2 linked regions of the Drosophila melanogaster genome follow. Changing the gene in region 2 together with the main gene of any one other region gives a genetic interaction. Each region holds a gene or a part of one and is shown on either strand. Other genes may lie near its edges. The genes, in order: amos and Dr.

Region 1 (3,375 bases), on a different chromosome or scaffold from region 2:
TTAAATCAATTTTCGTCTAATCTTCGAAGGATCTAAGGTAGCGACTGTGTTTATCCTCAGTGTGTTTACCTGTTGACGTTTGCGGCATTTAATCACTTCTGTTTTGGAGTTCCATCACTTTGAGTCGGAAGCGGAACTCATTAATTCTCGGTTTGTTACTGATGTTATGACCTTTCGTTTTGGTTCGTGGGCGTGGCGCACTGCCTAGCTTGCCATGCCGCTCTCATCTTTCAAGGATAACAAGGATACCCTTTTTCGGGCTGAGATGAAAGCGTGGCGAATAAAAACAAATGTGGAGGCATCAGTTGGATTGATAAATGGAGTTTTTACATATATTTATGTAAATTAATAAGTCTGATAAGTTATTTACATTTCAGTACCTATAAACTTCCTATCTTTTTTTTAAATATTTATTGGATTTTTCCCTTTTTCTCTCTAAAAATATCTGCTCTAAATTCTGTATATGTACCAGCAAAAAATGCAAAGATACAATTCAAACAAAATATAAATTTCCAAGTTCGCACAACATTATTTTCATTCCAACTCCACCATTTCATACGATATGAATTTAAAACAATATAATTGATTTGTATTTTCATTTTTATTATAAAACTATTGCTTGAATTGTGTACAACTATGATAATAAACGTAAAACTAACAGCCTTTATAAGATTTCCACTAGGATATGAAGGTGTTGCTGCAACACAGCCCGCAAAAGGAACTTCCATTTGAGGAAGAAAGGATAAAGGATCGCCCACACTGGCTAGTAGTCTCTGGACAGCAACGTGACCAGATCCCCGATGTATGCTTGCGCCATTTGCAGAGTTTCGTATTTGGAGAGTCGCCGATCGTGGCCGAGTGATGGAACCACATCTCTCAACTTGTCGAAGGCATCGTTCAGGCTGTTCATCCGCCTCCGTTCCCGAGCATTGGCGGCCAGTCGCCGTTTTTTGAGGACTTCGCCACCGAATCCCGCGGACGATGAACTGCTCGAAGAGGCGGAGGATGTAGATGATGACATGGAAGTGGACAGCTTGTCGTATGGCTTGCTCCTCTGCTGCTTGTTCCAGTACCTTGGACTTCTGCCCTGATTCTTGCCCAAGGGATTCGCTTGAAGGTGGTGCTGCTGCTGCTCCTGGGCATTCAGCATGTGCTCCAATTCCAGGACAGACGGCGTATCGTAATACATCTCCAAGGAGCAACTGTTGGCGCCATCCGACTGGCTGTCGCTGGTGCTGAACTCCTGCTGGTACATGAGCTGCTCCAACTGCTGGAAGGTGTCGTTGCTCAGGAACTCGGGAATCGCTGGGGCTTCGTCGGGGAAGTAGAACTGCTCCATTAGCTCGTTGTTGGTCAACATGTTTACGTTTGCAGGCTCAAGGGACAACTGAAGTGGCTGCTTGAGGATGGGTCTTTATATAGCTGCCTGCCGAGGATTCAGCTCTCACGTGATTGGTTCACTACATATGTCCTGTTACCTGATTCGCTGCCTCAAGCTGATCCGATCCGCTCAGGTACCCGATTGCCAACCTCTTGAGGATCAGCAGCACAGCCCGTGCCCTAAATTGGCTTGCGGTCAAGACGTTTAATTGTCTCTGGCTGCAACTCTCTCCCTCTTTCTCCCAGGTATTTACTGTATCAGCTACAGGTCGACTCCTTTTGTTTGACCTGTCATTTGGCTACCGTCTGTAATCATACCTCTTTTGTTACTTGCCCTGGAATTGACTTTTTATATTCAAACAAAATTTAGCCAAGGTCAAAATGCGAACGCACAAAAGACTCTTGTCATATGGGAATATTTTCCACAATGTGTGCCTCCATCGAAGATCGCCATGGATCATCTTGGTTGCATGTCTGTGGTCTAGTGAGTGGAGTGCTCGACTGGTTGGATGCAAACCCCATTTTTCGGACAGAACAAAGAGCAACAATTGTGCTTGTGCGGTTTGTGACTTTCGATTTTAGGCGGTTGTACTTACTTTATTGGGTCAAATTTAAGTGGGTGTATTAATAGTGGCTTTCTCCTGCTTTCAATGGCCAAATTACAGGACGTCGAGAAGTTCGAAATTCAAAAAAGCATGAAGAAATCAAAGCAAGTATCACATTATTATTATTTATTATTATTTTCATATTAAGGGATTTGAAATGTGCTATATTAACGCCTTTACTGAAGAGTTACTTTTCCGATAATAAAACTACACTACTTTAACATGCTGAAACCATTCGATGGGTCCTTCGAAACTCTGGTGCAATATGTTGCACCCTCACATTATATACTTTCATTCGTATGCTCTGGTTTCCACAGTCATCTTGGGATCAAGCCCACTTTCAAGTGACCGCATCGAAAGGCTAATTAACTCCACAGACTCGCAGCATTAGAGGGAAAATCAATTCGAGGAGTTCGCTGAATTTCTAAGGAAACTGGGCAAAACAATTGGAAAACACTGGCCGAGAAGCGCCGAGCATGGCTAAAGAGTACAAATGATGCCACTGCAAGATGGCCCAGTTACTTCGCCCAAATTGTCAAGGAACAAAGTCCCGAGCCGACAAAGGATCCTGACGTTTGATCTTGACGATGATGATGATAGCTGATGGATCGATCGATCGCTCGATCGGTTCACTTTGTTAAGAGTGCCACGCGACCGCAGCTTAGTCGAAATCCTGGCCCAGATTAGGCATTATGCTGCAATATTTTCGGGAGAAAGGTTCGCGGATAACCTAAAGATCTGCAACGCCTTCGAAAAGAGGTTCTGGAATTTCCAATTAGCATTTTTCTGCGCTACCTGGGACCTCGATCCTGTCAAAATAGCAACAATAGGTAGTCGGTTGGTGGGCGGTTCTGGTTGAAAGTGGGAACCTCTCTCCGCACTCCATCCATATCCATGCCCGTTTGTTTCTTTTCTTCTGACCAACAATAGGTCACCTGATGATAATCTCGGATACGTCTGGCAGTTGCGTGTTTTTGGGTTTTCCCTGCCAGATTAATCGTTTTCGCTTTGCGGATTAGTTGTTGGCGCTAAATTGCGAAAATGAGATTAGAAGTCAGAGTCCCGGAGTCACCAGGAATTCCATGGGAATCTCTTCTCGCCCGACACTTGTTGATTCCACTCTTTGTATTGCAATGCCTGACAATGGATCTTTGTTTTTTGGTCCCATTGTTGGTCTGAAATGGATCAGACCTAACTTCATTGTCCTGAGCATAATTACCATGTAATAATCTGGAATTATGAATTATTATATACAAAGATTTGTTTGTTTCCAAGTAAATTCGTTGTGGTCACAGATGTGCAAAAATATCCAGACAGTATGTCTAGCAAGAACTTGAAATGGATGTTCCTAGCGAAAGCGGAGAATTGGAATATAATTTATAATTGCATA
Region 2 (4,845 bases):
CAGAAACTGAAACCGAGACTGAGGGCCAGAAAACAACACAAAATAAAAAAACAGCTGCCAAATGATACGAAACGAAACGAAATGAAATGAAATGAAGTTGTTCGACTGTATTTTATACACATGCAGCAGTTGACAGCCAAATGACAAAATAAGCGGCAAATGTTTGGAATAGTTTATTCATCTCGGCATCTTTATAGGGAAGGAACGAAAGATAGCTCAAGTGGTTGATGAAGGGCGGTGAATTGATGGCCCACATCGAGATTGATTTATATCGATTTGTTGAACAGTTCCCTTTTGAAATATTTTGGAATTTATGAAAGCACTTTTAGAGATGCAGTTCTGGAATTTCATGTATTAATAGTTTGAATGAGGCGGTAATATGGTAATACTCGAACTAACCTACTTTAAAGCCCAAATTTCCTAATACAACACCCCATTTGAAGCCCTTTTTTTCAAAACACAGCCGACAGCTTTATAAAACAATGCTTTGTAGTGGCAAGAAAAACCCGAGCATATGCAGCAAAAACAGGAACAATAGTTGCTGTTCTGCATATAAAAAGCAAATTTACACTTTTTTGCCCACCGTTTTTGCACCGCCCTTTCCGAGTTTTTCGAATGTGTTTGAGCAACTTTAAGGAGCGGAAACGCAGAGTTCGCGATGGCCGAGTAAAGTTCACATGTCAGTCCGGCATCAAAGTGTGACTTGTCGAGTGTTTTCCCCGATTTTCCACCAGTTTTTCCCTACGACCCGCGGTGCTTTTTGTCCAGGAAATGCAGGCAAAGTGTGAACTGTGCATGCAGATAGAGATCGCCCAGTTAAACAGCCAGACTCGCTTCAATTAGTCTGGCTGGTCGGTTAGACAGTCCGCTTTTTACGCGCTTATTATTAGATTTTCCAATTCGGGAACGGTAATGGGGGGCTGGCTGGCTGTCAGACCGGAAAACACCGAAAAACGCCGCTGGCCAGCGAGTGCAATGAATAATCAGACGTGGCCAATTGAGTCAAATCAGAACCGACGCGACTATCATCAGCCATCAGCCATCATCATCATCATCATCATCAAATAATGGGCCCAGCGCAATCAGGCAGTTTTCATTGTTTTATTTAAGGCCCCGCAATAATTGCCACGCACTTTGACTACAAACTGCAGTCACGATCACTTCCATTCCATAGCCATGATGACGATGACGACGAGGTGGCCATGATGGAGCACCCGCAGCTCGCGTCCGACCAGGAGCGGAGAGTCACCATCGATGCCAATTAAGGCGAGGGGCGGCAGTTAATTGAATTAAAATGCGACACAAAATGGTGTAGATAAAGTTGCCACCGCACATGGGGCATAAAACAATGAGGGGTGGGGTGGGTGGTTTGAAATTCCTCCATTAAATAAATCGTTTTTGAATACACATCGCTGGCTGCTAATGGGGAATTTGCTCCCAAGCGGAATTCGCGTATTTCTATTGTTCACGGGTTCAGAAGTTCATGTTTATGGGTTTACAGTTAATTATAAATAAATATATGAAATGTAACTATATATACACTCATATTTACTTTGATGTTAAGGCTCTAAATTGAAAATATTTTCGAAAGAGAGTTGAGGTTGTTTTTATTTTTTTTGAAGTAAACCTTTTGAGTTCTATATTCTCTCCTATATATATTTTTATTTTCCCATTATTTAATTATGCCCATGCTGAATCCTCCATTGCAAATGAGTTTAAAATATCGCTTAGGACAGGACAGTTAAGCACATGTAACAGATAAGGTTTATCATTTCCCCTCTAGGAAGTACAAAAACCGAAAACAAGCTGACAAAAACCCCACAAAGAACTGGATAACGACACTTACCTCCACCGAATCCTGCTCCCGGAAACATGCCAGGCGGTCCGAAGGGCGGCATTTGTCTGGTTCCTGGCCACGGAACTCCACCGCCCATTCCCGTCCAGGCCACCGCCGCGGCGGCCAGTGCACTGAAGGGGGTCGGGCGGATGGGCACATGACCGGAGGCCAGGGCCGCCGGGGAAAGTATCGTGGATTGCATGTGAGAGCCCGGCGGCGGACCGTGCGGCGATTCCAGCGACTTGCCGCTGCCGTCGAGGCCGTCGGGCGTGGAGCGCGGCGAGTCGTCGGCGTTCATGTCCTCGATATCCACAATGGAGTCCTCCTCCTCGTCGTGATCGGCCTCGTGGTCCTGCAGCATCTCCTCGTCGTACTCCAGCTCGGAGTCCGTGTGGCTGCCCAGCGGCGAATGGCGTTCATTTTTGGCGGGAGTGGAGGCCACATTGCCCTGCGATCCCAGTGCGGATCCCAGTGGCGTGGAGCTGGGCGTGGAACTCGTGGAGGCGGGTGGCGAGTTGGCCCGGGCGTCCGCCTGCTGCTGCTGTTGGCGCAGCTGGGCGGCCATCGCCTGGTGCTGGGCATGTGCCGCCGCAGCCGCGTGGGCGGCCTGCAGCAAGTGGGCGTGGTGCGCGACGGCGGCGGGATGGAAGGTGTTGGCGGGAACTTGGGCGGCCGCACTGGCCGGCGGAGGCGGCGGCGTGCTGCTGGCCTGGGAGATGGGCGAGGTGGCCGCCGAACTGGTCAGGTTCTGGGGTCCATCCGCCGCCTGGTTGGGTGGCGTTCTGGGCCTCGTGTCCGCCAGGAGAGAGGCCACACTAAAGTTGCTCAGTCGGGAGGTGGTCTTGTGCAGATGGTGGGCCGGCGGATGCACTGCGGCCAGCTGGAGCGCCGCCGCCTGCTGCTGCTGTTGCTGCTGCTGCTGGTGTTGCTGGTGCTGCTGCAGCAGATGCTGCTGATGGGCCAGCAGCAGTGCCGACGGCGAGGTGGGACTGGCCAGGGCATTCAGGCCAGCCGGGTGGCTAGGACTCAGGTTGGTCAGGTTGCTGCTGGTCATGTTGCCGCTGCTCATGTTGCTGCCGCTGTTGCTGCCGCTGTTGCTACTGCTGCTGGTGATGATGAGGTTACCCGCGGGAGTGTTACTGCTCGGCGGCACCGTGGGACTGGTCATCGTCTGGCGCAGACCTGTAACTGTCATGCTCGCTGGGCTGAGCTTTAACATAAAGCCTTTCGATCGTTTGTGTAACTGTGGCTCGTTAATACTGTGCTTTAGGTGCGCCGGTTAATTGGTTCATTGAGACATGGTCTGCTGTTAATTTGTTTTGATTATCTTTCAATTAATGCGCTCGTTCGTCACACGCTTGGGAAACACAGACACACACTGTCACACGCGGCGTTTTGTATCTTTTCAGGGGCTATTTATTTCCAGAGAGAGACACGTCCTCTTGAGATCACGTCTGTTCTGCGACTGAAACTGTGGTCGCAGTTTCGGATGCACCGCTGCCTGCCACACAGATACTCACTCACACCGACGCACTCGACGATTGGTGGTGGGAAACCGGCTGTGTAGAGCGTGCCTCTCTCTCACTCCCGTGGTGGAGTGCACCGCGTGCGACACCATTTTTATTGGTTTCGAGACTAGCTCGCTCGCTCTTTTTTTCCGGTGTGAGTCTTGTATTTCTCCACTTTTCTGACTTTTGTTCCGCCTTCTTTTCTCTTTCGCTCTCGCTTCAGTGTGGTGAGTTTGCCGCACTCTTGCCGTACAGACAGAGATGGTGTAGCTGCCCCGCAGTATAGCCGTCCCTGTCGCACGCCTAATTATTATTGAATAATTCAATCTTCAAAGCGTTTTTCCACTTTTTTTTCGAGCTGCTGCGCGTATTAGCATTTTATAACAAGCAGCGGCGGCAAACGCCTGTCCATTTCCACTTTGGTTTTCTGGCTTTTCCTTCCATCTCCATTTTCCCTCTATCTCCCTCTTTATCGTTTATGACTTCATTTGGCCAAATTGGCGTGATTTTTTAAGCTTTATGTACGCCTAATATGTACATATATATGTATGTATATATAGACCAGGCGGTTTTTCAATTTTAATTGGCACTCCTACATGTCCTTAGCGTACAAGAACAATATAATAAATAATAAGCCCATCATTATCAGGGCCCCAAAAGCATCAAATGTCGGGTGGAGCGGCATTATCGCAAAGCTGCAATCTCGGTCAGGAAATTATGTTTTTTCTTCCCTTTTGCTCCACCTCAGGAGATAAGCCATAAAAATCGGATCGGTCCACATAAATCGAACGTCCCGGGAACCCGGCCGAATCAATCACATACATATAAATGTGAAATATGCAGGATTATATAGAATTTTGCCAACCCCCATAAGCTCCATAAATTGCAAGGTTGGCGGGTGGAGTGAGGGAGGGAGCGGGAATACCGCACCCTTTATAATTCTCGCTCTACAAATTAAACTCATTTTAAGGATTATTATGTGAAATTGTTGGCTTGAAAACTTTTGCCAGCCATTGTTCAGCTGCTCCTTTGTTTTCCGCTGCTCGAAGGACCAAGTTGTGAAAATGGGAAATGGGCGTCGGATTGTGCGGGTTCGCTCGGCTTTTCGGGCGGCAAGTTGGTGAAAGGATTTTAATGACAATTGCCAGTGGGTGGAAAATAAAGAGCTCAATTAGAACAGTTGACGAATGGCTGTGTGGTTGCCTTAATTAGTTGCAAACGATGCTGAAAATGAAACGACTCTGCATGATTGGGGAAATTCTAGCCAATTAATTTGAGTTCTTGCCTAAATGGGTTGGGTGAAATTTAGAAATATTTTTATATAATTTCTGAACTTTTTTCAAACTCTTTCCGAAATCGTTTTTAATTACACTTAAAAGAAACCAAGACAGTAAACTCGTTTATGAACTTCTCACATTTCCCAGCCATTCAATTAACACTTGATATACCTCTTACCACTTTTCCAACGCCCCTCTTGACTGATTAAAATTTTTCCAACTT

The links.
Region 1: of Dr (region 2) and amos, changing one suppresses a phenotype caused by changing the other (phenotypic suppression), as found in Drosophila melanogaster (one study listed by BioGRID).

Annotation. Positions count from the first base shown.
Region 1 is NT_033779.5:18,595,547-18,598,921, forward strand, and holds amos (absent MD neurons and olfactory sensilla), read right to left. Parts: upstream 1,376-3,375; 5' UTR 1,361-1,375; coding exon 764-1,360; 3' UTR 590-763; downstream 1-589. UniProt on the Drosophila melanogaster protein: Transcription factor involved in early neurogenesis; sensillum basiconica formation and maybe sensillum trichodea development. Promotes multiple dendritic (MD) neuron formation. Required for olfactory sensilla; regulated by lozenge (lz).
Region 2 is NT_033777.3:29,554,847-29,559,691, reverse strand, and holds the start of Dr (drop), read right to left. Parts: upstream 3,307-4,845; 5' UTR 3,057-3,306; coding exon 1,847-3,056; intron 1-1,846. UniProt on the Drosophila melanogaster protein: Plays a key role in the specification of proneural and promuscular cluster formation. Required for the specification of dorsal and lateral muscle progenitor cells. Regulates development of peripheral nervous system derived from lateral neuroblasts.